Caenorhabditis elegans: one gene and its partner. The protein of the gene in region 2 interacts with the protein of the main gene of each other region in a pairwise test. Each region holds a gene or a part of one and is shown on either strand. Other genes may lie near its edges. The genes, in order: Y51H4A.8 and sax-2.

Region 1 (17,140 bases), on a different chromosome or scaffold from region 2:
TCTTGAAAACCGAAAAAACTGGTCGCCACCGCCTAACTAATTTTTTGATAATCTGCAAATACCAGTAGGTTGACTAACTGTTGCATAACAATCAATGAAAGAATCTTAATAAATGTGATGAAACCCACATGCCAGCAAAGAAATAATACTAGAAACTCAATAGCGAGTTTTAAAAAAACATTCTGAAACATACATGTATTAAATTGAAATTTATAACAGTTGGGAATACACAAAAAAACCAATCGAAACATTACTCAAATTTTTAGTACAATTTTTAAACAATATGAAACGATCGATTTTTTCCAAAAATAAATTTTTAAAAAATGTCTATGCTTTACTTACTAGTTTTTGCCGAATTTTACCTGCATTTACATTAAATTACTTTTCATAATCAGTAGATATTCTCGAAACATAGTTTAATGCTGTTAAAATCGGAAAAAAACATTTATTGTAATTTCAGTGGCGCTTTAAAGTCATTTACTTTTATTTTATACCAAAAACTTAAAATTGAATATTAGAAAAGTCACAAACTACGGAAAAATTATAAATTTGGAAATTCAAATGTTTTATTAGTTACGTCGAGAATGTTAAGTTTTTAGAAACAACGGTGAAACATCACTTAAAGTTTTAGCTGACAATCTACTTTAAATACAATAAAAAATTGTTGGTTTATAGAATATGAACCGGTTTTTCCAGACTTTTCTTCTTTCTAAAAAAACTTTAATCTAAATTTTCATGCCACGTTTGCCTGAGCTGGAACATTTTGACGTTTTGTTTCGACCCAAGGCGTAATCAAACATGGATGAATCAACAATTTTCTTACAATTAGATGGTGTAAATGAAACAGTAGAAAAAAAATCAAAACAACTTTTATTTTTTAAAGGAAAGAACAGTATCCTATTAATTTTTTCTTTTCCTCATACAAATTTTTTTGAAACGAGTTGTAATGAGGCCGGTGCTGTGAGGCTCTACATTCTTTTGTTGTTTTGGTTTAAGGATTTTAGGTTTTTTTTTGTGTTTTAGGGCCTTCTTTGGAGTTTTCTCCATAATTTTGTCCCAATAAAATAAGTGAGTGAGATATAAAACTCTGTCTCTTTTTCTCTAGTTTCCAGATTTTAAATCAATATTTCCGACAGAACGTAAGTCGCAACTTTACTTAAAGTTCGTCATAATTATTTGAAAACATTGTGAAACATACAATTTTTTAACACTCAAAATGATATTATTTAATTTATATTCTATTTTTCAGTATCCGACGATTTTTTGCTTTAATTTACGCGAGAAAAGTTACCAAAAATGGATTAAACGGTCATAATTTCAGAAAAGTTGAATTCCAGAGCAAACTTTGGCTCTTTTTTGTCGAAATCTTTTGTGAAGCTTCATAATGAACATTACTTGGCGTTCAAAAGCATTATTTGAAAACATTATGAAACAGTCGATTTTTTCAAAAATTTTATAAAATTCTTTAAAACTTGTAGCGTTTATGGGTTCATCTGCATTTTTATTAATATGCTCTTAAAATTTTTTTTCTGATACATACGTGGATTTGATTGAACTTAATTACAGCTTGTATGGTACTTGTGTATTATTTCCCCTCATTTTTTGAAATAAATTTTTAAATAAAAACGTGTGGAGTTTTTGTATTTTTAGGCTTTGGAAATAACCATTTTCTAAGCCTAAAGATTGAAAATGGACATCACGTTTTATTAAATTTTATAATCGTTTTATAAATTCGTTTTATAAAATGGATAATATTAAAAGGTAAAGTATAAGTAAAGTTTGTAAGAATTGTGAAACAGGAGATTTTTTTTTTCAAAAAAAATAAAATTGAACATCTTTTTTTGGTTTTTTTATTATGTTTTTCCTAACGGACACATAAAGCCTTCTACAAAATGGTAAAATTACATTAGCTCTTGAAACAGGCAAAAATTTGAAATTTCAGTTAATTATTGAAAATTTGTTTCCTTTTTTTTAAGAGCTATTAAGTGGTGTTAATGAAATAGTCAAAAGTTTCAATTTTTCAAATCAGATCAATTTTCAATTTTTCATTAGGTTCTTTTTATATTAAAAATTGTTACAAAAATTGAAATAACAATGCCGTGAAACAGCGAATTATTTGATTATTTCAAGTAGAAATTGTGCTAAAACTTTATATTTTTCTCTGTTTCGAATAACTTTGAAGTATTTTCAATATTTTCTGTATTCAATTCTGCCAAAGCCAATTGGAAAAAACAATATGGAAACAAATAAAAATTATTGCTGTTAAATTAATATTATTTGAAATCCTTTGGGTTCTCCATGTATGAAAAATTAATTAGTGGGAGCACAAAATTCAAGTGAAAATTAATTGAGAAAAATCTATAGTTAAAAAATGTTAGATAAACCCAAAAAATCTAAAAGTGCGTAAAAACAAACAAAAAAATGTTTTCCTGTCTTAAGAATTCAATATATTTGTCATTTTGTTTTTTTTTATTCTAATATGATTTTCAAGATACTTTTCTCATCCAATCTATGTTGAGCTCTTTTCAGACTAAAATCTGGATTTCGAGCCGGGTCAAGCCAGGGCCTGAACCGTTTTTGATGTTTTTTTTCGGCTAGAAACGAATGTTTTCCCTTTCGTCGGGAAAATGTTTACAAAAGAAAAACGTTTACATAGGTTTCACTAAACTAACATCACGAATTTCTTAAAAAGGTGATAATGAAACAGTGAAAAATATTAATTTTCACAACCGGTACAACTTTTTGTTATCGCTTGTTTCAATACATTACAAAGTGTTTTTATTTTTAGTGCGTCTACTTTAAAACTATACTGATACATTTGTTGTTTGATAAAAAATAAACTGTTCCTAATGTGGAAATGTCTGACTGTTTCATTATCATGATTTAATAATTGTTTTATAAACTTGTGTAATAAGTCTTTTACTCCCGATTTTATTTTTTTCCCAATTTTTCATGAAAAACCCACAAAATCAGAAAAAAAATTTGTCATTTGTGAAACATTACTGATTTTAAAGTTAACCTATCTACTAGGGCTGTGCAACCGGACGTCCGGTTTTTTCGGACGTCCGAAAAACCGGACGCCGGACGCACCCAACGTCCGGTTTTTTCGGACGCGTGTGCGTCCGGGTCCGGAAAAACCGGACGCCGGACGCACACGCGTCCGGACACCGGACGTCCGAATTCGTCCGAATTCGTCTGATTGCACAGCCCTACTATCTACTAACGGCTTCATCTGAAAACTGGAAACTCTGCAATATTTTGGAAATACATTTTTAACATTTTTTTTAATTTCAGGGTTCCAAAATATGTTGAGTTCATCAATTGCGAATTCCTGTCGAAGTTTTTATTAATGAATTAATGAAATAATGAACATCTTAAGTGGTGTCAATGAAACTGACAAAAATTTGAATTTTCGAAATCAGATCAACTTTCAATTATATTTAATTCGTCATGATCCTTTTCTATTAAAAAAACTTTTCAAAAATTGATATAACAATGCCGGAAAACAGTGAAAAAGCATTTCAAGTAGAAGTTGTGCTAAAATTTTATATTTTTCTCTGTTTCGAATAACTTTCAAGTATTTTCAATTTTTTCTGTATTCAATTCTGCTAATGCCAATTGGAAAAAACAATATGGAAAAAATTAAAAATTATTGATGTTAAATTAATATTATTTGAAATCCTTTGGGTTCTCTATTTATGAAAAATGAATTAGTGGAAGCACAAAATTCAAGTGAAAATTAATTGAGAAAAACCTAGAATTAGAAAATGGTAAATAAACCCAAAAAGTCTAAAAGTGCGTAAAAACTAAAAAATTTGTTTACTGTCTCAAGAATTCAATCTATTTGTCAATTCGTTTTTTTTTCTAATATGATTTTCATGATACTTTTCTCGTCCGTTCAATGTTGAGCTATTTTCAGATTGAAACGTGGATTTTGAGCCCGGTCAAACCAGGATTTGAAGCATTTTTGATTTTTTTTCGGCTAGAAACGAATGTTTTCTTTTTCGCCGGGAAAATTTGTATAAAAGATAAACGTATAAACAAACTAACATCACGAAATTTTTAAAATCGTGATAATGAAACAGTGGAAAATATTAATTTTCACAGCCGGAAAAACCTTTTGTTATCCCCTGTTTCAATACATTACAAGTGTTTTTATTTTTAGTGCTCGATACAATAATCTACTTTAAAACTATACTGATAAATTTGTTGTTTGATAAAAATAAACTGTTCCTAATGTGGAAATATTTGACTGTTTCACTATCTCGATTTAATAATTGTAGTATATTTTTGTGTGATAGGTCCTCTCCTATATAAAAGTTTTATAAACTTGTGTAATCTGTCCTCAACTCGTTATTTTAATTTTTTTTTCCGATTTTTCAAAAAAAAATCCGACATATATCAGAAAAAATTATTTGTGAATTGTGAAAAATTACTGATTTTAAAGTTAACCTCTCTACGAACGGCTTCATCCAAAAACTGTAAACTCTGCAATATTTTGGAAATAAATTAAGAATGTTTTCAAAACTTCAGGGTTCGCTAAGTATAAGGAATACATCAATTGCGAATTAATGTCAAATTCTTTATCGGGGTGGTGAAACATTAGTGAAAATGGGATCAGATTTTTCAGATATTTAAAGAAAAATTAATACCTTGCTCCTTATTATTTTCAGCAAGTAAATAAATACCTGTAAAACCATATTTTGTTCCATTATAGAACATAGCCGCTCTAATTTTCATAAATATTAAATCGATTTAACCTCTAATTCTATATTCTGGGACGGAATCCAGATGTTTTTTTAGGTTACAATCTAAATTTTTAGACCAGGGTCTGAATTTTTTTGATGTTCTTGTTTCTAAAAAGTAATGTTTTTCTCTTTGCAAAGCGTGATCGAAATTTTTTTAATTAAAAATCAAAACTAGCAATGGAACGGAAGCAATGGAACTGATCGTGAAATTCTTAAAATGTTGATAATGAAACAGTAAAAAAATTTTTATAAATGATCAACTGCGAATCACTGGCTAAATCTTGAGAAGATAAAACATTAGTGATTGAATTTTCCTTATATTTTTGAAAAAAATAAATGACATGTTTCCGGAACTATGCATATTTGCAAAAATGGGGTTGGCATTTATTAATTAATGACGTGCTCCTTATATATTTTCAGCTAATAAATCCCTGTAAAACCATATTTCGCTCCATTACAGAACATAGCAGCTCTTATTTTCATAAACAATTAAATCGATTTAACCTTTAATTATATATTCTGGGACGGAATCCAGATGTTTTTTTTAGATTAAAATCTAAATTTTTAAGCCACGTTCAGCCAAGGCCTGAATATATTTTTTGTTTTTTTTGGCTGAAAACTAATGTTTTTACCTTTCCAATGATGAGAAAAATGAACTAACATCGTGAAACTCTTAAAATGTTGATAATGCAACAGTAAAGTTTATTTTGGCTAAATCTTGAGAAGATAAAAAATTAGTGATTGAATTTTCCTTATATTTTTAAAAAATAAATGTCGTGTTTCCGGAACTAAGCATATTTGCAAAAATGTGGTTGGAATTCATGTATTATCTTACTGTAAAGTTATAACTTCCCAGACAAAAAAATAAACAAAATAATCTTTTGAAAACTTGCGTGCATATAAGACGCAATACCTATTTTTTCTCAAAAATAAATTCCTGTTAAACCATATTGTCTAACATTACAGATTACATTACAGACCATTGCCAAACACATCCGCTCTTATTTTTATAAATATGAAATCTGCACTGCAACTTTTTTCGAACGAGGGACGAGGCAAAAAGGTTTCTAGGCTATGGCCGAGTCCCTGACAAATTTCAGCGGCCATTTATCTTGCTTTGTTTTCTGCGTGTTTTCTTTCGTTTTTCACCGATTTTTCCCGTTTTTTCTTATCAAAACTAATAAATAAATATTTTTTGCAGATGCTAAACCAATTTTCAAGTGAAAAAATTGTGAATTCAGTCGGCAAGTAGCGGTAAAAATGGTCAATGTAATATGATGGATTACGGGAATAAAAAACCCAAACTTTTTCCCAAACATGATACATATGCTGTTTAGATGCTAAAAGTACCTGATTTTCATAACGAGACCGCTGAAAAAGTTTTGAGGTTTTCAAAATTCAACTTTTTTGGTGTAGAGATTTTCACAAAAAAAGTTGAATTTTGAAAATCTCAAAACTTTTTCAGCGGTCTCGTTATGATAATCAGGTACTTTCAGCATCTAAACATCATATGTATCATGTTTGGGAAAAAGTTTGGGTTTTTTATTCCCGTAATCCATCATATTACATTGACCACTTTTACCGCTACTTGCCGACTGAATTCACAATTTTTTTCATCTGGAAATTATTTTAGCATTAACAAAAATATTTATTTATCAGTTTTAATAAGAAAACACGGGAAAAATCGGTGAAAAACACAAGAAAACAAAGCAAGTACAAAATGTCGTAAAATGCGGTGTATTGTGTGCAAACACCGATTTTTCGCATTTTTTCTCGGCCCTCGTTCGAAAAAAGTTGCAGTGATCTGGCATATCATTCAATACTGAATCAAAATAATGCACATCTTAAGTGATGTTAATGAAACAGTCAAAAATTTGAATTCTCAAAATCAGATCAACTTTTAATTTTTCGCTTTCAACGCCCATAAAAACTTTATGTTTCCCTGTTTCAAATAACGTTAAAGTATTTTCAACTTTTTCCGTATTCTATTCTGTACGGCCAGATCAAATCCCATGTTCAAACTTCAATACATGTAAAAAATTCTCGCTGTTAATATAATTTTATTTCAAATCCACAAAAAGAAAAAAAACCAATTAACCAACAGTAACAATAGGATCTGTATAAAACTGTGCTCCTCTCTTCGTCGTCAACTTGTCCGCCATCTGAGAAGCCAACATCTTCCACTGGCTCTCATAAATTGCAGAAATCGCGGTCACTTGAACGGTCAAAGGGACAACAAACGGACTTTTCGCGTATTTTCCATCGGTTCCAGCCTTCGCTGCACACTTATAGTAGACTGTGGATTGTTGTAGAACACCGTAACCCGCGGTGTCGGCGGTGCACTCGGTTACTGTAGTAAGTGTGACGTTTGGAGGCGAGAATGTGATGACTGGTGGGTTTATGTCGTTTAGGGGGATACTGTTGGCTTGCAATACGTCGTTGATCTGAATTTTTTGAATTTTTAAACTTTTTTGGTATTGTATAGTGTTTTTAGTGTTTTAGCGCTCTACTTGGTTCCATTATTATACAAGTTTTGAGCAGATAATTTTTTTTGGTTCGTATGGACAAATTTTAGCAAGCTCTCCGAAATATAATCTGGTAAATGAAATATTTGAAACAGTTTTTTTTTGATAATGGGTATAAATACTTTGTGGCTTATTTTGAAACTTAATGTTTCAGACTTATTTATCTTTAAAAAAGAATTCAAAAGATCGACAAACGAATTAATTTTATACAACCTGAAAAATGAAATATTTGAAACAGTTTTTTTTTATTGATAATGGGTATAAATATCAGGTTGTCCCATAAGTTTTTGTACTATTTTTTTTTTTGAAAAAAATTTATTTCTCTCAAGCGACAAGTAGTACTATTCACACAAGTATTCACCATTAGTGTCCACCACTTGTTGCCATTTACTAGGTAACATCATGATGCCACGGGAGAAGAAATCCGGCGAACGCGATGAGAAGAAAGTGGAGAGTTCAGTTTTGAGATGCTCTTCGTCGTCGAATTGCTTGTCGCGCATGTAGTCACTGAGAGACAAGAACAAATGGTAGTCGGTTGGTGCAAGATCTGGAGAATATGGTGGATGCGGTAAAACAGTCCAACCAAGATCTTGCAGCTTTTGGAAAGTCTTCTTGGCGACATGAGGCATAGCATTATCGTGAAGAAAATATAGTTTTTCATATTTTCCGTTGGTCTTTTCTGCAACTCGGTCCAATTGGGCACAATAGTAATCAGCAGTGATAGTTTTATTAGTTGGCAACAATTCCCAGTGCACGGGTCCTTGAACACCCCACCAGACACAGATCATTATCTTTTTTGGGTGAAGATCAGGCTTTGGCGTCGGTATTCCTTTCTCACCGATCGGAAGCCATTGACGTTTTCTGGAATGGTTAACATAGAGCACCCACTTCTCATCTCCAGTAACCAGATTGTTCAGCCAATCGAACTTTCGACGAAAAGTTAGAAGTTGAGTACAAACGTTGACCCGAGTGAGCTTCTGTGATGCCGAAAGTTCATGAGGCACCCAAATTCCAAGTTTTGAAGTAAAACCAAGGCGACCCAAGTGACGTGCAATTGTGCTATGACAACACTCAAGCTTCTCTTCCATTTCACGAAGACTAAGACGAGGCTCTTCCTCCACCAGCTTCACTAGGTCTTCTTCATTTAACTCTACCGGTCGCCCAGAACGTTCTATTTCTTCGAGACTGAAGTCGCCGTTCTTGAACTTTTGAAACCAACTCTTTGCTGTATTATAAGAGAGTGCTCCCTCACCCATCGCACCGCATATGTTTCGTTCCGCTTTCATTGCTGAATGACCAAGACGAAATTCATAAAGAAGAAGCAATCTAACGTCTCGACGTTCAAGTTTGATGATTGTCATCGTGGCAAAGTAGAAATGGATGAAATGAATCTTTTCTGGAAGGGGACGACCCGACCTTGACACGACCTACGATGAAAAAATTTTAAAACTTTCTAGAAGTTTTGGAAAAATATTTGAAAAAAAGTACAAAAACTTATGGGACAACCTGATACTTTGTGGTTTATTTCAAAAATTAATGTTTCAGATTGTTATCTCTAAAAAAAATAATTCAAAAGTGATAACAAAATAGATTTAGTGGTAGGTAGACACATCTCTAGGCTCTTCTCTTTCAGCATACTTTTTTCAGTCATTTCTCCGCTCAAAATGTGCGAACAACACAGCCATTTGCGGTAACGAAAACACCCCAACCAGCTCTCCGAAACCGGGCTGCGATGTCCGAGCGGTTAAGGAGTTGGACTTGAAATCCAATGGGCATTGCCCGCGTAGGTTCAAATCCTGCTCGCAGCGAATACTTTTTGGAAAATATTCCGAATTAAATCTACAGGCTTTTAAATAAATTTTTTAACTCATTGACCGCGCACCTAGTATGTCGCTTTTGAGTGATTTATCAGTTTCTAGGAGAGAACAGAATTATTTCGATTATTTGCAATTGGCTATATCAGTATAGTGAAACAGTGAGAATTTTTTGTGTTAACACAATGAAAATAGAAAGATTGTAATATAATCATGCATTTGTACTATAGAATATAACATGTTTCTACAAAATAAATTTTCAATAAAACGTAAAAATTTTATTTGTAAAAAAGTATGTTTTATAATATTCTTATTAGCTCACTGTTATCTTACTAGGGAGTGTTTCAACTCTACGGTGCCTAAAAAGTTATTATTATTGTTTTCGTCAAAAAAAAAATTGCCTCCGAATTTTATGGCCCACTTATGGGTTTTTTTTCAATTATTGTAGAGATTGGAATATGCTATACTTTTCTTTAAAAGTGGCAAAAACGTAGTAATTGGCACTTTTCGAAAAAAAAAAGAAAATTTCAATAAAATTTTTAATGTTTCAAAAGTATTTCATTAAACTTTTTATGAATCGCTTTTTATTGAATAGGCTGGCTTGATGGAAATTAAGAAAATATATGGCTTTTCATCAAAACTAGACTAGAATTTATAAAGCTTCTGAGAATTTCAAATTTTTTTCAAATAATAATGCAACCGTTAAACATTATGCGATGTGTTGCCATTTCACATTCTTTTATAAATTTGGCAAAATTATCCACCACCATAGTTGGACATTTAATAATTGGACTTTTAATAAATGCAATTATACGAACTCCAAAGAAAACTGTAGCTGTTCATAAAAATTTTGTGAAACAGTAGAAATTTTTTCTGTATTGGGATTTTTATTTAAAATTGCATTTAACTCACCGCACTCTGCACATCCGACACCACAACTCGCTGAGCATAGGCTTGATCAAACTGTCCGTTTTCAAATTCTGCTAGAGAATCATAGGTGTATAGAGCAGGAGGGTTCATTTCATAGCTGAATGTTCCCTTGGAGCCCAGCGTTCCGGTACCCGGAGCACAGGCTCCGGCTGTGGAGATGAAAAAGCAGAGGAGCAGTAGAATTTTAAGCATTTTGAAGGTTCAAATCACAAAAGTTAAAAGTGAAGTTTAAACCTTACCTCAATCCTTTTTTATACCGTTTCCTTAACCTTTGCCCCACAATAGCTTATGTTTGTTTCGATTTGCCAAAAATGTTTATATTTGTCATAGTTATGGCATCATTTTATTACTGATTGTTAACACTTTTTCTTGTGGGTGGGTGTGCCAACAGTAAGAATAGGTAAAGCATACTAAGCGGGGGTAAAAGGGAACTCGTAAAAATTTGAAACCCAAAGATCGAAAAATTGTCAAACAGCCGTTACTAAAATTTGTTTGAAGGCTGAAACTGAATTTTTTTTTTGTTGCAAATTTTGAAGATTTTGTTCCTGGATTCGATTTGAAAACTTTAAATACAATGAAAATCCAAAAATAGGTGGAGCCTATTATTGATTATACTTTTATCGGAAGCTTCTGGTTTAATTTTAAATTGTTTTACACGTTTGAAAGCGGATCACTATCAGAAATAGATCAAAATGTGATGAAAAGTTTTATACGCACGCGGTGAAACGGTAAATTTCGAAATTCAGATTTTTCGATTTCTTATCAATTTTTAAAGTCATTGATGGAGGAGTAGCGCCAGTGGGGATATCATTTAAAAAAACACTCCAAAAAACTCAAATTTTTTACAACTTCCAGTCAAAGTTTTGGCAAAAAAAATTGTAGGAAGTTTTTTTTTGATCGACTTATAAAATTATGAGTGGCAAAATTTGAGTAATAGTCACTTTTTACAGTGAATTTTTAAAAATCCAATTTTTTTTCAAAAAGTTTTACCTTTAAAAAAATGTAGATGCTTTCTTTTAAACCATTGTGTTACTATTAGATTTTTTTCCTATAACAAGACAGTTTTCTGTAAAAACCACCATAGTCACTATTCCAACTTAAGAGGTTTTGCTTACATTTGACTACTTCTGGCAGATATTAATTTCCTGGTTACGTTTCAATTTTTTTAATTACCAAAATACAATTTGAGCGTATGAATAAAACCCAATTTACAAAGAGTATAATAAAAGCATGTTGAAACAATAAAAATTTTAGAAAATTTTTTTTTTCCGAAAAGCGCCAATTATTAAGTTTTTGCCACTTTTAAAGAAAACTATCCCTAAAATAATTGAATATTACCGTTTGAAACATAAAATTCGGAGGAAAACATTTTTTTTTCAACGATTTCCAAATAAGTGCCTAACAGAATGGTTGCCATTTTTGAAATAAAATAAACAACATTTTCAAAAAAAGTTTTGAATAGTTTTACTTTTTTTGAATTTAATGTTTTAAATTAATTGTTTTGAATCATATCATTGAAATTTTAAGATCTTTCTCATGAAAAAGTTCTGAAATAATAACTAAAATATCAGTGACGCAATATAAATATTGTGAAACATAATTTTTATAAGTACAATTTTTCTGTAGAATTGTTGTATTCCATAGTACAAATCATGATTATATTTGCCTTACAACCATTCTCGCTACATTGTGTTAACACAAAAAATTTCTGACTGTGTCACTATGCTGATATAGGCAACTGCAAATAATCTGAATGGACACGATTTAAAAATATTTTTTATTTAAAACAATTTCAAATAACTGATAAATCGATTTAACGCAATAGGTTAATGTTCGGTGCGGTCACTACTCCAACTTAAGAGATTTTGCCCAAATTTGATTATTAGGTCGTTCAATAAGTTTTTTCGTTTTTTTCTAGTTTTGGTTTTTTCTTGGATAATATTTTGCGGTTGTATAGAAGACTGTTAGTAATAACAAGCCCAACAATATCAGCCATATCGGTCAACTTCCAGATTATTTAAAACTCAGAACTATGATGACGAAAAAAAAATTTTTTTTCGAATTTTTTCATTTCTTTGTGAAATCAAAAACTTTGTATGCGTAGAGGTATAAGACAGTTAGTTAAACAAAACTAAAACATTTCAGAACCAGGCATAGCTTATTGGTAGCGCTACATCTGTTGGAAGTGTCGAAAACGCTTGCAAAATTGACTTTTTCATGTTTGAGCGGTGCTAACTTTTAAACCATGAGAGATATACAAAAGTAATGTATCACAGCATTAATGTACACATCATCAGCTACATTTTATCAGTATGTTACATTGTTGTCCCTCCTCACGTTTCTGAGTTACAGTCGATAGAAATGAGCTTGGTCCAATTTTCAAAAAACCCTAATTTTTCACGTTTTCGCCTGTAACTCCGAAATCAGGTGCCTGATTAAAAAACTTCAAATTAAAAATAAAGTGATTTTAAATTATAATCAGGTACACAGTTGACCGTTTTGTCATATCATATGTGGGCAAAGATATGAACGGTCAACAAACAAAAAATGCATGATCGAAAAAATATAGAAAAATATTGCAAAAAACTGTTTTACTCTTTCCGAAAAGAACATGAGCGTTTAAAAACACATTTAATATTTTGATTACTAATTAGGCTATCATAATCAAAAAACAGTTAGAGGTTATCTTGTAAAAAAAACTGTTGGATTTTTTTTCGATGTTTTTTTTTGAAAATTTTCTAAAATTTCCGCAACTTTTCTTTGACAATTCATATCTTTGCCCACATATGAGATATGACAAAACGGTCAACTGTGAACCCGATTATAATTTAAAATCACTTAATTTTTAATTTGAAGTTTTTAATTAGACGCCTGATTTCGGAGTTACAGGCGAAAACGTGAAAATTAGGGTTTTTTGAAAATTGGACCAAGCTCACTTCTATCAACTGTAACTCAGAAACGTGAGGAGGGACAACAATGTAACATACTGATAAAATGTAGCTGATGATGTGTACATTAATGTTGTAATACATTACTTTTGTATATCTCTCATGGTTTAAAAGTTAGCACTGCTTAAACATAAAAAAGTCAATTTTGCAAGCGTTTTAGGCACTTTAAACAGATGTAGCGCTACCAATAAGCTATGCCTGAGTCTGAAATTTTTCAGTTTTGTTTAACTAACTGTCTTATACCTCTACGCATACAAAGTATTTGATTTCACAAAGAAATGAAAAAATTCGAAAAAAAATTTTTTTTTTTCGTCATCATAGTTCTGAGTTTTAAATAATCTGGAAGTTGACCGATATGGCTGATATTGTTGGGCTTGTCATTACTAACAGTCTTCTGTACAACCGCAAAATAATATCCAAGAAAAAACCAAAACTAGAAAAAAACGAAAAAACTTATTGAACGACCTAATAATTATGCCAGATATTAATTTCCTGGTTTTGTTTCTACTCATGATACAAAATATTATCAACAAAAGATAAAGGGTACATCCAAAAATCAAAAGATCGAAATATTGCCAAACAACCGTTACAAAAATTTGTTTGAAAAGATTTTTTCACAGAACATTCGATTGGAAAACTTCAAAAACAAAGAAAGCCCAGAAAAAGGCGGAGCCTATTATCAATTTTATTTTTAAAGGAAGCTTTCAAATTAATTTTTATATGTTGCTAATGTATGCAAAAAGATCATTGACGAAATCGGAAGAAAATTTTTATACACACGCGGTCAAACAGTGAATTTCTCGACAAATTTAATCACCAATTTTCAACGTAATTAATTAATTTTTAAAAAGTTAATAACACGAAAAACACACAATTAACCAAATAAAAGTTGCATTCCAATTTTTTTTTGGTCGGAAAATGAAAAAAAAAGTGATTAAAGTTGCAGTAGCGCCAGTGAAGAAATCATTTTAAAAAACTCTGAAAAAATTCAATTTTTTCAGAACTTCCAGTCAAAGTTTTGGTAAAATGCCAAATTTTTGAAAAAATATGCGTTTTGGGGAGATCCAAAATTTTTCGACCCCCAGAAAGTATCAATACAAAATTAAGGTATGCAAAAATCGTAGGAAAATTTTTTTTGGTCGACTTCCAAATCATTATTTTTATGTAACAAGACGTCTTCTGTATATTACCAACAAAAGATAAAGAGTATAATAAAAAAATGTTGAAACATTCAGAATTCAATTGTGACGCCTTTGGTCCCAAAATGACCAAACATCATAGTGAACCTTTTAAAAAACAATATTTAACTTTTTTGCCACTTTTTGAGAAGACTTTGTGTAGTATGATCGAATCCCTATAACAGTTGAATGTAACTATTTGAAACAGCAGTAGACCACTAAATTCAAAGAATTTTTCAAATGAAAAAGTGACAAAACCTGGGTGGTGATAGAGGCTTTTCGAAACACAAATAATTAATGAAAATTTAAAAAATTTTCTAAACATTTTGAGATCTTAACGTGAGCTAATAAGAATATTATAAAACATACTTTTTTACAAATAAAATTTTTACGTTTTATTGAAAATTTATTTTGTAGAAATTTGTGTTCCATAGTACAAATGCATGATTATATTTGCCTTACAACCATTCTCGCTACATTGTGTTAACACAAAAAATTTCTGACTGTTTCACTATGCTGATATAGGCAATTGAACATAATCTGAATGTTTTTGACACGCTATAAAAATGTTTTTGACACGCTATAAAATTCAAAATAACTGATAAATCAATCAAAAGCAATAGGTAAAAGTTCGGTGCGGACACTATTCCAACTTAAAAGATTTTGCTCAAATTTGGCTACTTATGCCAGATATTGATTTCCTGGTTTTGTTTCCAATCATATTACAAATATATTATCAACAAAAGATAAAGATTATAATATAAACATGCTGAAACAGTAAACATACAATTCACTGCGGATCTGGGATTCAGGTACACTGCCTGGTGGTGCTCCTACTGGAATATAATATAAGCCACGTCTTAGCCGAGGACTGTGGCCGAATGAAAATTTTATTGACAAAATCATTGTTAATTAATTGTCTTAAAGTAGATTCTAAACAACAACAATAATAACTAAGATAATAGTGAGCTAATAAGAATATTATAAAACAAACTTTATTTATATGTAAAAATTCTTTTTGCCAAATTTTGTATTCTATAGTACAAATTCATTATTATATCAGCCTTACCATGTTCCTTGCTACATTGTGTTAACACACAAAAATTCTCACTGTTTCACTATGCTGATACAAGCAATTGCAAATAATCAAAATGTTTTTGCACGGTTTCGTATTAAAGCTCAAATTTACTGATAAATCACTCAAAAGCAAAATACTAGGTGCACGTTCAATGAGATACAAAATTTATTTAAAAACCTGTAGATTTAATTTGGAATATTTTCCAAAAAGTATTCGCTGCGAGCAGGATTTGAACCTACGCGGGCAATGCCCATTGGATTTCAAGTCCAACTCCTTAACCGCTCGGACATCGCAGCCCGGTTTCGGAGAGCTGGTTGGGGTGTTTTCGTTACCGCAAATGGCTGTGTTGTTCGCACATTTTGAGCGGAGAAATGACTGAAAAAAGTATGCTGAAAGAGAAGAGCCTAGAGATGTGTCTACCTACCACTAAATCTATTTTGTTATCTCTTTTAAATCCTTTTTTAGAGATATAACAATCTGAAAGATTATTTCCGGAATAAACCACAAAGAATTTATACCCATTATCAATAAAAAAACTGTTTCAAATATTTCGTTTAACAGATTATATAAAATTAATTCGTTTTTCGATCTTTTTTTCAGCATGCTCAGAAATGTTTATTTTTAGCAGCTCGCGCATTTTTAAGATTAATAAAAAAGTGTTAAACCATGATATTTGATAAATTCAATTATATTCAATTATACACCAAACAATAAAACTGGCTAATTTTAAAATGTAGTATTTTTAACTAATGGAAAAAGGTGGAGATTACTTTTTCAAAAATATGAAAATTTTATATAATGTCACTGAAACAGTAATTTTTGTAATTTCGAATCTTTTACTTTTCAACTTAAAAATAAATTCAAAATTAATTAAATTATAACCTAAAAGGAGGAAAATAAATATTTGCATTCCCTTGTTCCAGTTTGATATCCGTATTCTGCGCTACCTTCTCTAAAATCTGGTGAATTTTTTATTATCCACATATTTTATTGTCTCTGGTTTTGCATTTAACCCCTATTTGTCCCCTTTTTGTTTTTCACTCGGGGATATACATTATTTCTTTTTTTTTCATATTTAATCAATAAAAACCGTATTCAAGGAATAAACGTTTCGAAAAAAGAGAGGTAGTAATATGAAGCCATTGATACAAAATTATAACAACTTGACGAAACAGTCAAATTTTTTTGCAAATTAAAAAATTTTTAATCGTTTTTTCTCAGTTTTTTTAATTCAAAAACGTTTTTCTCCTTTATAAAAAGTTTTTAAAAGTATATTTTCATTCAAAAAATCAAACTTTATTTATTTCAAAACTGAAAACTAAGAAAATCATCCAATTTATATTGTTTCTATGTAAAAACTTCAACCGAACATTAACAATGTATAATTTTAAACATTTTCAAAACATTACCAATTATCCCGATAAAAAATCATAAAAATGAATTCAAAATCTAACAAAGGTATGGAAATCAAAAAAAAATTTCAAAAAATGTTTGCTGTTTCAAATTTTCAATATTGTTTTGCTAAAATTTGTTTGAAATTTTCTTTTTTTTTCGTCTGTGTTATGTTGTTTTCTAATTGTAGTGATTTTTAAAAGTGTTGACACGCGATATTTTATAAATTCAATTGTATTTTAACACCAATAATGCCGGCTAATGTTAATATGTATAGTTTTCAATTTCTGAACTGAATCACTTTTTCAAAAATATAGAAATTTCATATAATGTCACTGAAATAGTAATTTTTTTTTGTAATTGTGTTTCTTTTACTTTTGAAAGAAACCATATTAATGTAACATTTTTCATCGAAACTCCCAGAGGAGTTAATTTTTAAAAACGGAAAATAAATTTTCGTTCAAGAAATAATGGAGCAAAACCAAGAAATTTCCAAACTAGGGTTTTTTTCAGCGGAAAAATCATTA
Region 2 (16,256 bases):
AAACCGAGATGATGATGATATTGATAGTGTGAGATGTAGTTCATAATGATGCTACTAGATAACATCAATGATCGCATTTCACAGATCTACAGCTGAATTATCACCTAATGTAAGCAACGAATATTGCGATTATTGCTCCAAAAATACGGTACCCGGTCTCGACGCGACAAATTTTTGTTTAAAAAAACAGGTGCGTCTATAAAGAGTACTGTAATTTCAAACGTTCGTTTCTGTAGAAATTCCCGTCTGGGACAACAACTTTTCGAAATCCTCGAATAAAAATGTTCAATTTTCTGTTAAAACAATTAGTAGGTAATCTGAAAAAGCCAACAAACAGAAAAGAAGAAATATTCCGAAACTCTTTCCTTGTTGCACATTTTCCAGTTTCTGTGTCTCCGAAAACTCCCATTCCGATAGGCCAGTGCAAGTGCGCTCCATGGCTCTACTGGTTTTCTTCAATGAAACAATTTTATTGATTTCAATATCGTTTCTTTCGTTTTTTTAGTGTTTAATCATATTTTATTCATTAATTATTTAAAAATAAATATTCAAATTTTATTAAATTTCAGATGGAAGAAGAAAATACACCGGAAGTCCAATTTGAACAAGATGAAAACGAGGAAAACACCCTTCAAATCGTAGACAGCGACCTTGTCATCGAGAACTCTGTCACGGAGAATGTTCCCTCAGAAAATCAAGATGTAGAGATGGAAATAGTATCCGATTCGGAAGAACCTCTAGAACCTCCTGTGCCGGTTGCAGTGAATTTTGAAGAAGCACCAGTAGAAGAAGTTCCAGGGGAACAAGAAGCAGTGCTGGTCGAAGAAGAAGAAGAAGAAGTACCTGCAGAAGCAATTGAAAAATCTCATGAACAAAGAGAATCCTTCATGGAAATGTTTAGAATAGCTCCGAGAATTCGAGATATTCTACCAGATTTGCGCGTTTTTATGAGCCATCCGGACGTTTTAGACGAAGATCGGAAAGAAGTTGAGGCTTTAGTAGAGGCAAAAATTCAAGATGAAAAGGCGAAAAAGAAAGCTGAAAAGGTATCGAAGAAAGAAAAAGAAGTTGAAAAACCACCAGTGTCATTGGAAGAAGCTGTTAAGTAGGTTTTTTTAATGCGGAAATTGAAAAAAAAAACAAATATTTTTCAGAACTGTTACCGGAATAGATTTGGCCGCAATACTTCAAAAAATTCCGAAAAATCCTCAACAAATCGCCCCTGTTACAATACCTCCGCCTGTGGTTATGCCTCCGCCTATCGTAATTCCAGGAATGCCAAATGCTCCAGCTGTTACAGGTAAAAATTGAAACTTTTTTTTAAAAAGAATCACAAAAATGCCTCAAATTGGTTCTGTGAAGCTTCAAAGATCACAAATTGTCATCTAATTTGAATTTCGCGCGAAAATGAGTTTTCTATGATACTCGACCGTGTACTCCTCTCGGACAATTAACGAATTAAACTTTTAGATTTTAGACGATTAAAAAAAATGTTTTAGATTTTTTCCATCAGCAAAACGAAAATGATCATATATCCATTTATTTATTTTGAAGCAAAAAGCCGTGCAAAATCATCAAAAACAACCTAAAATCATAAAAATTAATTGATTAATTACCCGAAAGAGGTAAACGGCTGAGTATCAATCTCAAATTCGACTATACCACATTAAAGAAGGAGTTTTTAAAATTAATATAAAAATCTTGCCGCAGAGAGAAAATTTTTTAATACTTTTTTCAGAAGTTCTGAATCTGGTTTCACTGCCGTTAAATGCCAAACCCGTGCCAATCCCAATTGCGTCTTCAGTAATAGCACCCAATTATGCAACTGCGCCACCGATTGTGAGTTTTTTTTTCTAAAAATGTTTTTTTTTCGAATTCTCAAATTTTCAGGCTCTGACAGACCCGAACGTCGCTTCAATTGGACACGGAAAAGCTGGATTTTCTACGCCTCATCCGAATGAAATTCCAATTGAACTAAGACAGTATGTTATTTTAAAAAAAAAACCTTTATTTTAAATATATCTATTTTTTCAGTTCCAAACCAGACATGATTGCTCCAATTCCAGATGAGCTAAGAAATCTTGGGTATGTCCAATTGTATTGAAATTTCTTAACAAAAATTGTTTTCAGTGCCGTTCCAGTTGTTACTTCGATTCCTACAATTCCTAATGAGTTCCTACCTCCGTAAGTGAAATTTCAATTTAAAAAAGTCTCTACAACAAACATTTTTCAGAGAACAACGAATTCTTGGATCGTTACCACTCACTTTTGTTCGTAAGTTTTCCGTGTGAAATATTGAAGAAAAAACTAATTTTTCTCCAAATTAAGGTCCTCCGATGCGGAAATCCCTGTTTCTCTCTGGTGCAAGATCAGGAAAACGATGTGACAGAATTAAAATGCAGAGAAAGAAGGATAAAAAGGAAGTAAAATTGGAAAAGAAGCTGGAAAAGAAGTCAGAGGATGTAAGATATTTTTAAAAATTTCAGAAATGTAGTGATTTTGCTTTGAATTGCACAAAATGACTACAATATTACAAAGAAAAATGTTTTTTAAAAAAGTATATGAGAAGTTTTGGTTCAAAAATGTCGAAAAATCCATTGAGTGGGGAATGTTCATTCGGAAAAAAAAATATAATGACCGATTGTGCAATTTTAGGCCTTTTGTCAAAAAAAAATTTCAGTCTCTGGAATCAGTGGAAAAACGGCCCCGTGGCGGACATAGAGGTCGAGCTGGTGCAGGCAGATCAAGCTTTGAAGCAACAGGAATGAATGCTCTTCCTCAAGGACTCAACAAGAATTCTCCGCTTGCTGTTAAACGTTATCATGCTCGTCAACTTGCCAAAGAAACTGGAATGACATTGGAAGAAGCTATGGAAGAAATTGAAGAACAATGTAATGCATTTGGAGGTGAAGATACTCCAGAAGCAATTGAACACGATACAAAACTTATGGAAATGATTAAGAAACGAGGTGATGAACATTGGAATCAACGACATAATTATACACCTGTTGATCATTCGAAAGGAATTCCTGGAGTCGATAGACCACCTGGTGGTAATAGGGATCGTGGTGAAAAGGTTCGGAGCAAGTCGCCAGTTACAGGAGTTGATAGACCACCAGGTGGAGACAGAATTGAACGAAGTAGGGATCGAGAACCGGGTGGTGGTGTTCCTGGGGTTGATCGGGCGCCAGGCAGAGGATCTCGTGGAATCGATCGCCCACCTGGAGGTGATTCTCGTGGTGTTGATCGACCACCTGGAGGTGGAGGAATTCCTGGAGTAGATCGGCCACCAGGAGGTGGAAGGCGCGGAGTTGATAGACCACCAGGATCTGGAATGCCTGGAATCGATCGGCCACCTGGAGGGGATCGAATGGGTGATAAGCAAAGAAGAGGAGCGAGAGGAGGTGTTAAGGAAAGAGAAAGAAAACGAAGAAGTAAGTTTATTCAACCTTTATTCCACGAAAATTCGAAATCCTTATGTTTTTTTTTAAATATTTTTAAATAACGCTTTATTTTTCAGGAGATGAATTCCAGCGAGGAGGTGGTGGTGGTGGCCGAGGCGGTGGCCGTGATGGTGGAAGAGATTATGGTGGTCCTCCGCAAAAATCTGGGCGACGTGATCGATATGATGATTAGTGAGTTCAGCAATGAGCAGAGATATAAAACACATTGAGAAAGTATACGAAAGCCCCTTTTTCTCAGCTATCTCGGAAAGTAACTTTACTTTCAATTGAAATTTTCGAAAATTTGCTCTAAAACTGACTCAAATAATGCCGATCGACACTTCACGACTTTGAGGCAGTTTGTCAAAAACTTCTCGAAGCCTTCAATTAAACATAAAAAAGTATTTGTGACTATTCGCGTTTCGAAACCCCAAAAAAATTTCAATTTTTCAAAATCTCGATTTCAGCGATCGATCGTATCAAGGAACAAGTGGATATGGACAAGATTATGATTCACAAACATATGGAGAACGTGGTTACGATGGACATTATCAAGGACAAGAGGATTATTATGGAAGGTAATAAAATTAAATATTTTAAAATGAAATTAATTAAATTTAATAAACGTTTCAGTCAAGAAGGATATGGAGAATATAATCAGCAACACTACGGTGAAGGATACGATCAACAAGGATATGGGCAAAATGGAGATTCATATTATGGACATGAAGGGTAAGGAAAATCACTTTTTTAATTGTTTGAATTGTATTTTTATTCAAAAATAATTACCTATTTTCAGCCAAGATGCATCGACATATTACCAAGAAGATGGCAGTCAATACTACAATCAATACTACGGTACTGCTCCTGCAGAAGGTGAAGCTTCAGCTGTAACTGGAACGGATTATCATGCAACATTCAGTGTACCACCACCACCGGCTCCCCCTCCGTCATAAATTTAAGAATTGGGAAAACTAAATATTTTTGAATCAAAAAACTTCCTTTTTCAATATTTTCTTCAATTCTTTCCCGATTTCTTTCAATTTCAATAGTTGACTTTTATTTATTTTTAATTTATAAAATTTCTTATATTCTTCTTCCTCCTTCTATTGTATGAATATTAAAAACAGGTCCTTCGACCCGAAAAATCCCCTTCTCAAATCTAGGTCATCATATCGGAGATAACGGACAATTATGCATAATATTCGAGATGATTATCATATCGGTCATATGAGGGGGCGGAGTCTCGCATACAGTAGTCCTTTGTCCTTGTGCGAGGGAGTTTATGAGTATAAAAGGGTCCCTGAGAGAGGAGAAATGGACACTTTTATCAAAACATTTTCCATCTTTGTTTATTTTGACGATATTTATTCGCTGATACGAATTTTTGCAATTTTTATCCCGGATACCGTATTTCTTGGCAATTCAGATTACGCGCAAATTCTAGAATAAACATGTTTTCCAGATCATGTCAGTGTTCGCGGGATATGCCGCGTGCACCCTCGGTGCCGTTTCGATGCTTCTCTGCGTCTCTCTTGTCCCACAAGTCTATCAGCAAGTCTCGATGCTCCGGGACGAGTTGACGACTGAAATGGAGGCATGGCGTCTCGAGTCCGATCAAATCTACATGGATATGCAGAAGTTCGGACGTGTCCGTCGTCAAGCCGGAGGATACGGTGGATATGGTGGATACGGTAGCGGACCATCTGGACCATCCGGACCATCTGGACCACACGGTGGATTCCCAGGAGGCCCACAAGGACACTTCCCAGGAAATACTGGATCATCGAACACCCCAACTCTTCCAGGAGTTATTGGAGTTCCACCATCAGTTACTGGACATCCAGGAGGAAGCCCAATCAACCCAGATGGATCCCCATCTGGTAAGTATAGAAAAAATAGTCCAAAGATCTTATATAAATTGAACATTTACAGCTGGACCAGGAGACAAGTGCAATTGCAACACCGAAAACTCATGCCCAGCTGGACCAGCCGGACCAAAGGGAACTCCAGGACATGATGGACCAGATGGAATTCCAGGAGTTCCAGGAGTTGACGGAGAAGATGCTGATGATGCCAAGGCTCAGACTCAACAATACGATGGATGCTTCACTTGCCCAGCTGGACCACAAGGACCACCAGGATCCCAAGGAAAGCCAGGAGCCCGTGGAATGCGTGGAGCCCGTGGACAAGCCGCTATGCCAGGAAGAGACGGATCCCCAGGAATGCCCGGATCTTTGGGACCAATTGGACCACCAGGAGCCGCTGGAGAAGAAGGACCAACTGGAGAGCCAGGAGCCGATGTTGAACACCAAATCGGACTTCCAGGAGCCAAGGGAACTCCAGGAGCACCAGGAGAGTCTGGAGATCAAGGAGAGCAAGGAGATCGTGGAGCAACTGGAATTGCTGGACCACCAGGAGAGCGTGGACCACAGGGAGAGAAGGGAGATGATGGACCAAATGGAGCCGCTGGAAGTCCAGGAGAGGAAGGAGAGCCAGGACAAGATGCTCAATATTGTCCATGCCCACAGAGAAACACCAACGCCGCTGTCTCTGGAAACCAAGGATACAGAAACTAATTTCACATTATTATTTGTGATTTGTGTTGTTGAAGAAAATAAATTATTTTATTCTCATAACTTTTTTCAATCGAAGGATGTTTTCAGAGAAGCATGTTATCCTAGTTCAGATAATCTCAAGAAATAGGCTTACTATAACAGAAAAAGTTAACTGAATTGCAAACATTTTCAGATAGTAGAAATATAATCAAAACACTTCCAAGCTTTGAAATAGAATACTAAAATATTAAAAAAAAAAACACCCTATTTCCCCAACGAAAATGTTTTGTTACTATTTAATTGAACGATTGTGAACCTATTTTACAAAAAAAGCATTTTGATCTACCAGTTGAACTCAACATATATTTATTTTCAAAAGAATTTCAAAAGATAGATCAAAATAGTTTATCTGAGTTTTTTCATTAATTTTTCCCATGAAAACAGATTCAATACTTGCGAGCATCCTTCTTGTCTCTCTTTCAATGATGCCCGACAAGACACACAGAAACTGTTTCTTTCTCTGCCGTCTCTTATGTATAGAGTGTCCCGAACAGCTGTTTGGAAACGATGGCCGAGTCTGAATGGCCTTGTCTTTTTCTCTTCTCGGCCAGTTTATCGAGTTTATTGGTACCCAGTTGAAATATTGTTTTAGTGATTCTTCAATATCAATATTTGCGTTCAAAAGTTAAATTAGCTCAACTCTCAATTTTCTAAAATCTCTTATGTCCTTCATCACCTCCATTTCCTATTACTTTCCAATATGTTTCTTTGTTTTCGACTCATTTTTATATATTGGATTTCGTTAAAGAAAATTAGAAAATTATCAAAAAACAAAATGTTTCACAAAAATATAGTTTTGTATTTTGATTTTTATGAAAATTGAACGAAATTTCAGAATTTTTGATAAATTTATATTCTTAGTTTCGACACAATCTAATTAAAGTCTAATTTTAAAAAAACCAATTTTTTTTTCAAGTGAGTTGAACCAGACACTTTATAAAAAAGATCAGAAATTTTACTACAATTAACTTACTGTATTTCTTGCGCACATCACTACTTAACTTGAAATTAATAAAAGGTACATTGAATCAATTTTCAAATAAAAAAGTTAGGTTTTTATGCTCGCTTTCATGAAAAATCGTTTGTAAATGTTATTTATTTTAATTATCATTGGCTAAACAAAAATTTTCAGAAACTTAAAAATTCTTGCCAATTTTTGATTTTTCTCTCTATTTCTCTCTCTCTCTCTACGTTTTCATTATTTTCCCATTTTTACAGATGAGCTCAATTGTAAAAAAAGGACGCCTGGGGCGTCGAAAAAGCGATCCGGGGACTTTGACTGTTCGATCTACTGCTGATAAGTCCGTTTTTTTCACAATTGATTTTTTTGGACGTAGAAGTCAATATGAAATTATTATTTATAGAATTGCGACATGTGAACTACCATGGGGAGGAACTAGAATGGTAACACTTGGACCACTGGAGTTAACCCAAATGAGTGGACCATTTGTTGGACAAGCTTCTCTCATGGATCTTTTCAATATATTCGAACGAAAATTGCATATTGTGACTGAAGAAGAACCACTTGAGAAGATGTTGAACAAGACATTGCAACGTGGTGGTGATCTATATTTTGATAATTTATGTCATACACTTCATGGATTATCCGAAATTTGTTTGCCGCCAATTTTGAAAGTTTTGGTTGAATGGTATGAGAAGTATGATGAGTCGTTGTGTTTATCTATGCTATCACCTATTGCTACGTAAGTTTTTTTTTGTGTAAAGTTGTTGAAGCAGAACAAAAATTTAATGAAAACAGAAATCATTTCACATGATGCATCAAAACTTATTCACCGCATGTAATTTACCATCCTTGATATTACGCAGTGGCGAAATTTTGGAATTTCACACGAACTAAAAAATTTTCAAATCAGGTCCACGAAAAAATGTGCGCGCCTTTGAAAACTACAGTAACCCATTCTTCGTATTTTTGCTACTCAAATTCAAAAAAAAGCAAAACAAAAGTGTATGGATTACTGTAGTTCTGTAAAGGTGTACCTTTTTGAGCAACCTGATTTTGGAAATACTTTTTCTCGTGGCGAAATCGGGTACCATATTTGTTTTGTAAAAAAATTGCACTATTTCGCGAAATATTACAGTTACTTGTTGGTTGAAAGTATACCTAATCGTGTCAGATTGGTTGCAAAAAAATTTTAAAAATTCAACTTATATGCTCTCGCAAATGTCTTACTTTTTTCAGGCCGGAACTTCGTCTGAAACTCCATAAAAAGTTATTGGCAGTGAATTATTTATTCTGTCTCGTACTTATTGAAATTCTTCCACAAGTTGAATTCCATCTTCCTCAATGTGATCCACTTATCAAGAAAGTTCTAGAGATTTGCTTCAAAAATGTACAGTACAGAGAACCGTAAGTTTTTAGTTTTTGATTTTAATTTTAATTTTAAAATGTAATAATTACAGATCGGCAGTTGGAATCAATAAAACAAATCATTTAGTAGTTGCTGAAACTTATGGAGAAGTCGTTGGAGTTCTTTCCAGTACATACTTCACTCATATTCATAGGTGAAATTTGATTTTCAATAAAGTTATTTTAATAATTTTAATATATTTTCAGAATTTTCATGACCCACATCACAGAGCTCAAAAAAGACGTTTCACAGACTGCTGCACAACAAATTGTAGCACTTATAATGTCGATGAAATTTCTTCGAATAAACTCGAGTCAAGTGGAAGATTTTGAGAATGGATTGAAATTTTTGGATGATTTGGGAAGTTTACTGCTGGAAGTGAAGGATAAGGATGTCAAGCATGCAGTCATGGGTCTATTGGTTGAGATCTTGTTACCGGTTGCAGCGGTAAGAACTGTTTTTTTCTTGGATTTATGTAAATATAACTTACTAGTTATAAACTATTAAGCCTACAGTATCCCGGTAGCATTCATACAGTTATTCAACTCATTTTCGTTATAAAAACGTTGAAACGAGTTTCAAATTACGCTACAGTACCACTGGTTTGAAAATTTCCTGACAAACTTTAGCAACTTTCTGGCAATATTTTTACAACTTTCTGCTTCCTACTAGCTGATCACTTATTTAGGAAGCGTTTTGTCAAGTTACTGCCAAGACGTTGCTCCAAAATAATTACGCGATATGTGCATCGTGCGTCCAAAATTATGCGAGGTTCCTAATGGACATATCGCAATTCAACTATGTGAATAGACAAAAGTAATGATTGAAATTTCAGCAAATCAAGCGAGAAACTAACATTCCTGCTTTGATTTCTCTTGTTCAAAAATTGTACACTACTACGAACGATATGATTTCAAAAAAGCAGCATAAGCTTGTAAGTTTACTTTTTTATTAAATAAAGTTTTAAAATTTCAATATTTTCAGGCAGCATTTCCACTGATCACGTGTCTTCTTTGTGTCAGCCAAAAGCATTTTTTCCTCGCAAACTGGGTACAATTCTTGAATTCGTGTTTGTCTCATCTTAAAAATAAGGATCCTCAAGTGGCAAGAGTTGCGTTGGAGAGCTTATATAGACTTTTATGGTTGGTTATAAAATGATCTTATTTCTATTTGCAATGTTTAATTACAGGGTATATATGATTAGAAACAATGCAGATGGAAATGCAGCAACACGATCTCGACTCGACTCGATTTGTGGTAGCTTGTTCCCGAAAGGAAATCGATATATTGGTTAGAAATTTGAAAAGGGAATAAATGGGAAAAATAATTGGTTAACAGCCAATCAGAAATGTTACCGATGCCCCTACACTTTTCTGATTGGTTGTTCAATTTGGGAAATTTAAATATAATTTTAAACACAATATGCTATTACGTTTGAACGAATTAGCAAACGATAATATTTTCAGTGCCTCGTGATGCTCCACTCAACATTTTCGTCAAAATCATTCATTTTATTTCGCAGCAAAAATTGGATTTTGCATTCAAGGTGAGTTTTTCTTTATTATTTCAAGAGTTTATATGACGTCCAAGACAATAGAGAATATAATCTGAAGTTGCAAATTAATGATCAAGAAATTAGGAAGCCTCTAGAAAAGTTTAAGTTTTACTTTATAGCTTTCTACAAGTTAGTCATTTTTTGCACTGAGACTGACAGTTAATTTAATAAAATTAAACTCGCCTTCTGGAGCAAGCCAAAATTGTTTCATTTTTCAGGAAATAATCTTTGATCTCCTATGTGTCAACAATCGAACACAAAGATCCTTGTATGCGGAACGAATGAACGTCGGAATTCGTGCACTGATGGTCATTGCAGACGGTCTTCAACAGAAGGATGATCCACCAGCAATGCCAAAATCAATGGGACCATCTGCAAGTGGAACTGTGCACAAGACAAAAAGAAAACAATACATCACAAGACCATTAACAAATGAAATTTCAAAGTGAGTTTTGGGAGAAAAAACATTTAAAAAAGAAGGGAATGGAAAAGAAGACAATTGGGAAGGGGAAGGGAAATCATTTTCCGTCAATAAAAATGTTCCCAATTTTTGTTTTATTATCAAATTTGCATATCGCTTCTGCTCTTGTTTTCTTTCCTGATTTTTAGACAAAGAACCCAATGCCGTAGTACTAGTATTAAAATTTTAAAACTCAAACACAGTTTAAAAAGATCGCAAGAAAATAGTAATAATACTTTTGTCACCTCTTATCACGAGTGGTCAGAATTGTTTGCGATGGGCGGGCCTAACACATGACAGCTAGAAGTTACGGTATCAATGAATCATAGGTTAACGACAAAGTGAATATGATCCTTTTTCTTGTAATAAAACAACATTATTATCAGTTTTTGAGCAAATAATACCTGGTTAATAACTATATTTTGTTTTTCACTTATCTTGGCACCTCTCTCACCTTCCTATCACTTTCTTATCACATTCTAACACATCATTAAACGAAACTGTTCACCAAATAATTGAATTCGTAAAATGTTCAACATTTTTCAGATCGATCGGAATTGATCAATTCTATCCACAGTGCCGAAAGGCTTTCGATAGTATTCTCCGCCTTCTGGACACACAAATCGGCAAACCACTCATGATGTCTTCGATTCAAAATCGTGGAAAAGAGCCAGATGAGTTGATTAGTGGAGATGCAAAGCCAAAGCTTGATCTGTTCCGAACTTGTATTGCTGCGATTCCAAGACTTCTTCCTGATCCGATGAGTCATGTGGTAAGCCTCGATAGTGAAGAAAAAGTTTCCAAAACTCAGTATTTCAGGATTTGATCGATCTCCTTACTCGCCTTACAGTTCATCTCGATGAAGAGCTTCGTAACATGTCTGGAATCACACTTCAAACAATTATCGGAGAATTTCCTGATTGGAGAGAACAAGTGTTTATCAGTCACATCTCGCTCATTCAATCTCATATTTATGATTTCTTTCCACAAATTTTGGATGATTCCCTTCGTTTGATGCTCCAATCTTTGACAACATGGAAAACTGCAATCACTGCCGAAAAGAAGCGAGAAGCCGAGAAAATTATTCCGACAAGTCCGCCAAGTTGTCACTCAAGTCATGTGACAAGTAATAGTACCCACAGTACTCACATCTCGGTCAGCTTCCCCAATACTGTCACATCAGCATCTTCGATTCTTTCCAATTCATCATCACCACATCAACCAACACCTTCACTGTGTTCTTTACCAGAATCTTCATCTCTTCATTCAATTCCAACTGCAATGACATCACTTTCAACAACAACTACTCCAACTCATTCACAAGGTGCTCCATCAACATCTACTCCAATCGGAGGTAGTGGTAACAGTACCTTGTCGGTTTTGCATCAAATGGAAGGATTGGCCATTGTGTATCTATGTCAGACTCGATCAAATCCACGTGCTATCGCTGTCAAGATTTTGAAAGAAATTCAACTGATCTATGATCTTCTTGGAATCGAGATGATTGATACACCGGTCATTGATGTGCTCGACCAGGCAACTCCATATGTTGTGAAAAAGTATATCGAACACGTGCCTATCAAAGAACGAATGTCATGGAATATGGACTTTTCGTCGGTTTGTGATAAGATCTCGACGATCGAAACGGACAATACTTTGGTGAACAGTGATCGTGGAAACGAGTACTTCCAATGGGATCCGTGGGGTTGTGCACTTTCGGGTTATGCAGAGATAAAGCACTTGCTCACAAAATGCCCAAGTGCAGTTGCTGCAGCGTGGCCAATACTTTTCTCGAGATTAAATGCAGTTTCAGGATATGTTGATCCGAAGTGAGCTTAATAAACAATATTTCATGCTTAAAAATATCCATGCCTGCCTGCCTACCTGACTATTTTTTGAAATGTACAGAGTTACGGATTTTTCATTTTCAATTTCTTGAAAGTGAATAGAAATTAAAAAAGAAGTTCACTTGTACCTTGGCAGGCGTAAGTCGCTTTGGAGGAATGTAGGCAGCCATTTTATACCTACCCATAAATGTCTATAAATATCAAACTAATATTCTATTGTTACAGTAACCCACAAAACGAAAGTCGTTCATCTCTTCTCCGTGGGTCAAAAAGTAAAGGAACTTCATCGATTCTCGGCGAGCAACTTGGACAAGAAGCATGTCTTGCTCTCTGGCAAAAATATCTCATTATGTGCTGCGCTTTGGCTCCGGCTCCATACAATCTCTCACAGCGAAGCTTCAGTCCAACCAACTCAATGGATGGTCCAGTTGATGTGTTTCGATCTGTGTCTGCGTCACTCAGATCTTCAAGAACTCCAGTTCCAAACTCATTATCTCAATTGATTTCAAAAGTTTGTATGATTTTGAGATGGGAAAACTTGACTGACATTCGTGATAGTGTTGTACTTGGAGTTGGTTCTATCAATCCACTCGCCTTTGATATGATGCTTGAAGAGTTAAAATCAAATGGGATCCTTCGAGAAGCTACAGAAAAGAAGGCAGAGACAAATTTACGAAGAAGAAAGCGAAAGGATTTATTGAGACTTCAAATTATTCGAGTAATTGAAGTTGCCATATTTCGAGGACTTTTATTAGTTCATTCGGCTGGAAGTTCAGATTTCATTCTACATCCACATGTTGTTGATTTTATTGATTCGATGAGGGTCAATTTGGAGAGCGATCATGTAAGTGGAGACCTTATTGGGATTCATGATCAAAAACATTTCAGGATCGGGACATCACAGTTGTTACAAAACTCCGTCTTCACTTTGCCAAACTGATTCATCTGATCATTGACTCAACTCCACATCTGTCTAGACACAGTATGCATCTCAATTTGACATAGTTTCCCTTACTTTTGTGTTTCAGCTCTCTTTTCGGATGAACGTCGTCATAAGCTCTTCTATCTCTTCATTAACTGGTGCTCACGTGCAATTGCCGCTGATCGGAAGTTCCGTGACAAAGAAGTCGGTTCATATGTTGAACAGAAATCTGTTCTTGCAATGTCTCGTATTCTATGTTGTGGACCTATTTTTGAACCAGCGAAATCAATTGGCGAAGATGGATATTTATATGGATGGCTTGAAAAGTTGATCATCTCGACGAATCCAACGATGCAGGCAGAAGTTGAAGAAATGTTGGCATGGATGTTGGAGTTGAACGAGTCTGGAGTTTTATTGGATTGGTTGATGATGCAGTGTTATACTCAGGTATCGTCATATCTTTTTTTTCTATTTTATTTTAAAAAAAAAATTAAATTTTCAGCCACCTACTGTCGCATGCCGATGCTTCAGAGCTCTAGTTCGAGTGTTCTCACGTCGTGACTTCCCCTGTGAATTTGTCTCCCTATTCGTTCTGTGCCAATCTATGCTCGCAGTCAACTCAGTCACCGATTGTGCTCTTCACATGATCGAGATTCTAAGGAAGCAGTTTTTGGAAACATCAAATATTCATGCAACGTCTCCAGCTCAACAAGTCACTCCCATTGTGCAAATGAGAAATCAAGCCGATGTTCTGACGGTGGGATTTAATTTTAATTTGAAAGTTTTGAAAAATAAACTTCTAAAATTTCAGAATATCTACAACGGTTGCCATATCCTACCAATCGAGCAACACGATGTTTGTACCCGACTCGCCAACTCGTATCCTCATTTGACAGTCACAATATTCAGTGAAGTCTCATACCGTCTTGAGACTGAAAGCTGCTCAAACAAGTCACAACTCTTGGCACTTCTTCAGCCATGGATTTCCAATTTAGAACTTGTTGATCAGAATGTTGTCGAAGAAGCTGCTGAAGGACCAAGAGGATGGGGATCAGAAGAAGCGACTCAATTGGTGTTGAACAATTTACTCTACTTGACAGTCACATTATCCAATGATCATGAGAAGGAACTTGCTGAAGTATGGAAAACATTGGCAATCTCTTTCCCTGCAAATCTCCCTGCAATTCTCAATTTCTTCTACACTACAACACTTCTTTCACAGGAGTCACTTCTCCCATTCACCAAAAGAATTTGTGTAATGATGTCACAAGTTGTCGGCACTCGAATCTCATCGATTCTGCTGGAATGGCTCAGCACGGTGCATGATAGCTCAAAAATCACACTGGATCGAAGTGAAATTCCACCGTATTATCGATGGAAAGATGAGAATTCTGAACGAAAAGCTAATGAAGGATCCATTGCCAGAGACTCATTGGAACGGGAAGAACCAACTAAAGAAGGAGTTCGATTGCTGCCGATGCCAGCTTATGGAGGTCACTACTCACCACTCAGCCAGTTCTTGCCTCCTGTTGTTCAGCCAGTGCAGTTTTTCAACAAGTAAGTAATTTGGAAGCCCAGAACTAGGCACTCAAGTTTAGTCTATGAATGCTTCAGCTTCTGCCAATCTTTTGCCCTCGTCTTATGTATGTCGTTTGGAACAATGCTAGAATTTGATCAAACTATTATATCCATACATAAGCGAGACCTAATCCGAGTTTTCCAACTTCTGAACAAAGTGTTTTTTGCGAGAGCGTTCAACAAAAAGTAGTTATTAACTGAAATCAAATAAGCCTATTCCTATGTATAGACATTTGTTTTTTTTTCAGAAGTGAAGTAGGTCTTCTCTTGGTCTGTGATATCATAAGAACTCGATGCTCGGTGGATTGGTCTGAATCAATGGCTCTACTTCTTCATTTCTCAATTCTTCGATTAGATTCTCTACGTCCTGCTCTCTGCCGTCATGCTCGCCAAACTATAATCAATGTGATCATGCTTTACATGGAGAAGAACCAGCTGGCACTGGTCTCCTCAATTCTTTTGAAAAACGAGATGATCTACGGAACAGAGACCAGTCCAATCATCGGAGAAATAGCTGTCGGAGTCTGTCGTGGAGAGTCTCCCAGTTTTGCCAGAGCTACTGCCGATGAGTATAGGAAGATGATCTTTGCGAGTCCATCGCTTTTCTCACAGAATGATCTTCTATCGGCAGTGGTGTTTTGTATGAGTGAAGAGTGCGTTTTTCATTTCAGAAAATCAATGATTTTGGTTTAAAATATAATTTTCAGAATGGATACTCCATTTTGGGCAAATGAAGATGCAAATTCTCGAAATTGGAGAGTCCCAAGCTTTGAGCAACTCTCGTGTACTGTACATCACATTGTGAGACTTTTGATCAACAAGATGCCAATGATTGAAGTTATTTGGACACAACTAGCCATGAAAATGGCACTTTCCACATCGAACCGCCATTTAGCTGGACGATGCTTCCAAATTGTTTCAGCACTTGAGCAACCTCCGGGTCCATGGATCCCATCGTTAATGTCCAGATTGGTGGAAACTGCTGGAGAGCAACATGATGAAACGCAGTCTTATGTCACGGATCTTATGTTGTGCTTAACGGACTGCTCTCCTTATATTTCACCGGTAAGTTGAATTGGAAAAAGTACACTAAAAGATACTTTACCCCAGAAGCTTTACAATTATATTATTGGAAAAATTATTAATATTCCATTTAAATAATTTTTCAATTGACTATACTCTAGTTTGAAATTAAACATTCGATTCAAATATATAAAAGCTGCAGACAATAATGGAAGCAATCGAAATGCGTCAAGTGATATCACCAACTCATATGCGTTCCACATCATACACACCTGCATTCGTTCGTCAATCAGTCATCTATTCACGTGTTCAACAATCTGATAAAAAGAGTGAGCTTTTTTTTCAATTCAGATTATTCTAATCATTTTTCTGGAGACTTTTTAGATGCTCGTCTATCACTGTTGGTTGCTGATCAAGAGTCATGGGCTTCAAAGTCGCCAG

Evidence for each region.
Region 1: the proteins of sax-2 (region 2) and Y51H4A.8 interact in a two-hybrid assay, tested with the Caenorhabditis elegans proteins (one large-scale study listed by BioGRID).

Annotation. Positions count from the first base shown.
Region 1 is NC_003282.8:16,568,307-16,585,446, forward strand, and holds Y51H4A.8 (DUF4136 domain-containing protein), read right to left. Parts: upstream 10,244-17,140; 5' UTR 10,210-10,243; coding exon 10,000-10,209; intron 9,904-9,999; exon of another isoform or gene 9,883-9,903; intron 9,697-9,882; exon of another isoform or gene 9,675-9,696; intron 9,452-9,674; exon of another isoform or gene 9,428-9,451; intron 9,205-9,427; exon of another isoform or gene 9,183-9,204; intron 9,082-9,182; exon of another isoform or gene 9,000-9,081; intron 7,467-8,999; exon of another isoform or gene 7,446-7,466; intron 7,323-7,445; exon of another isoform or gene 7,302-7,322; intron 7,193-7,301; coding exon 6,842-7,192; 3' UTR 6,788-6,841; downstream 1-6,787.
Region 2 is NC_003281.10:5,102,422-5,118,677, forward strand, and holds the start of sax-2 (MOR2-PAG1_N domain-containing protein), read left to right. Parts: upstream 1-7,279; coding exon 7,280-7,362; intron 7,363-7,425; coding exon 7,426-7,764; intron 7,765-8,261; coding exon 8,262-8,429; intron 8,430-8,482; coding exon 8,483-8,584; intron 8,585-8,636; coding exon 8,637-8,877; intron 8,878-9,265; coding exon 9,266-9,364; intron 9,365-9,414; coding exon 9,415-9,572; intron 9,573-9,619; coding exon 9,620-9,720; intron 9,721-9,896; coding exon 9,897-9,976; intron 9,977-10,203; coding exon 10,204-10,430; intron 10,431-10,991; coding exon 10,992-11,217; intron 11,218-11,264; coding exon 11,265-12,274; intron 12,275-12,517; coding exon 12,518-13,136; intron 13,137-13,180; coding exon 13,181-13,274; intron 13,275-13,320; coding exon 13,321-13,661; intron 13,662-13,716; coding exon 13,717-13,971; intron 13,972-14,025; coding exon 14,026-14,352; intron 14,353-14,436; coding exon 14,437-14,771; intron 14,772-15,040; coding exon 15,041-15,445; intron 15,446-15,499; coding exon 15,500-15,857; and 4 more. Other genes in the region: F54D8.6 (C2H2-type domain-containing protein), read left to right, coding at 570-1,105, 1,155-1,300, 1,739-1,839, 1,891-1,982, 2,035-2,085, 2,131-2,184, 2,234-2,274, 2,329-2,462 and 5 more; Cuticle collagen dpy-17, read left to right, coding at 4,912-5,326, 5,379-6,022.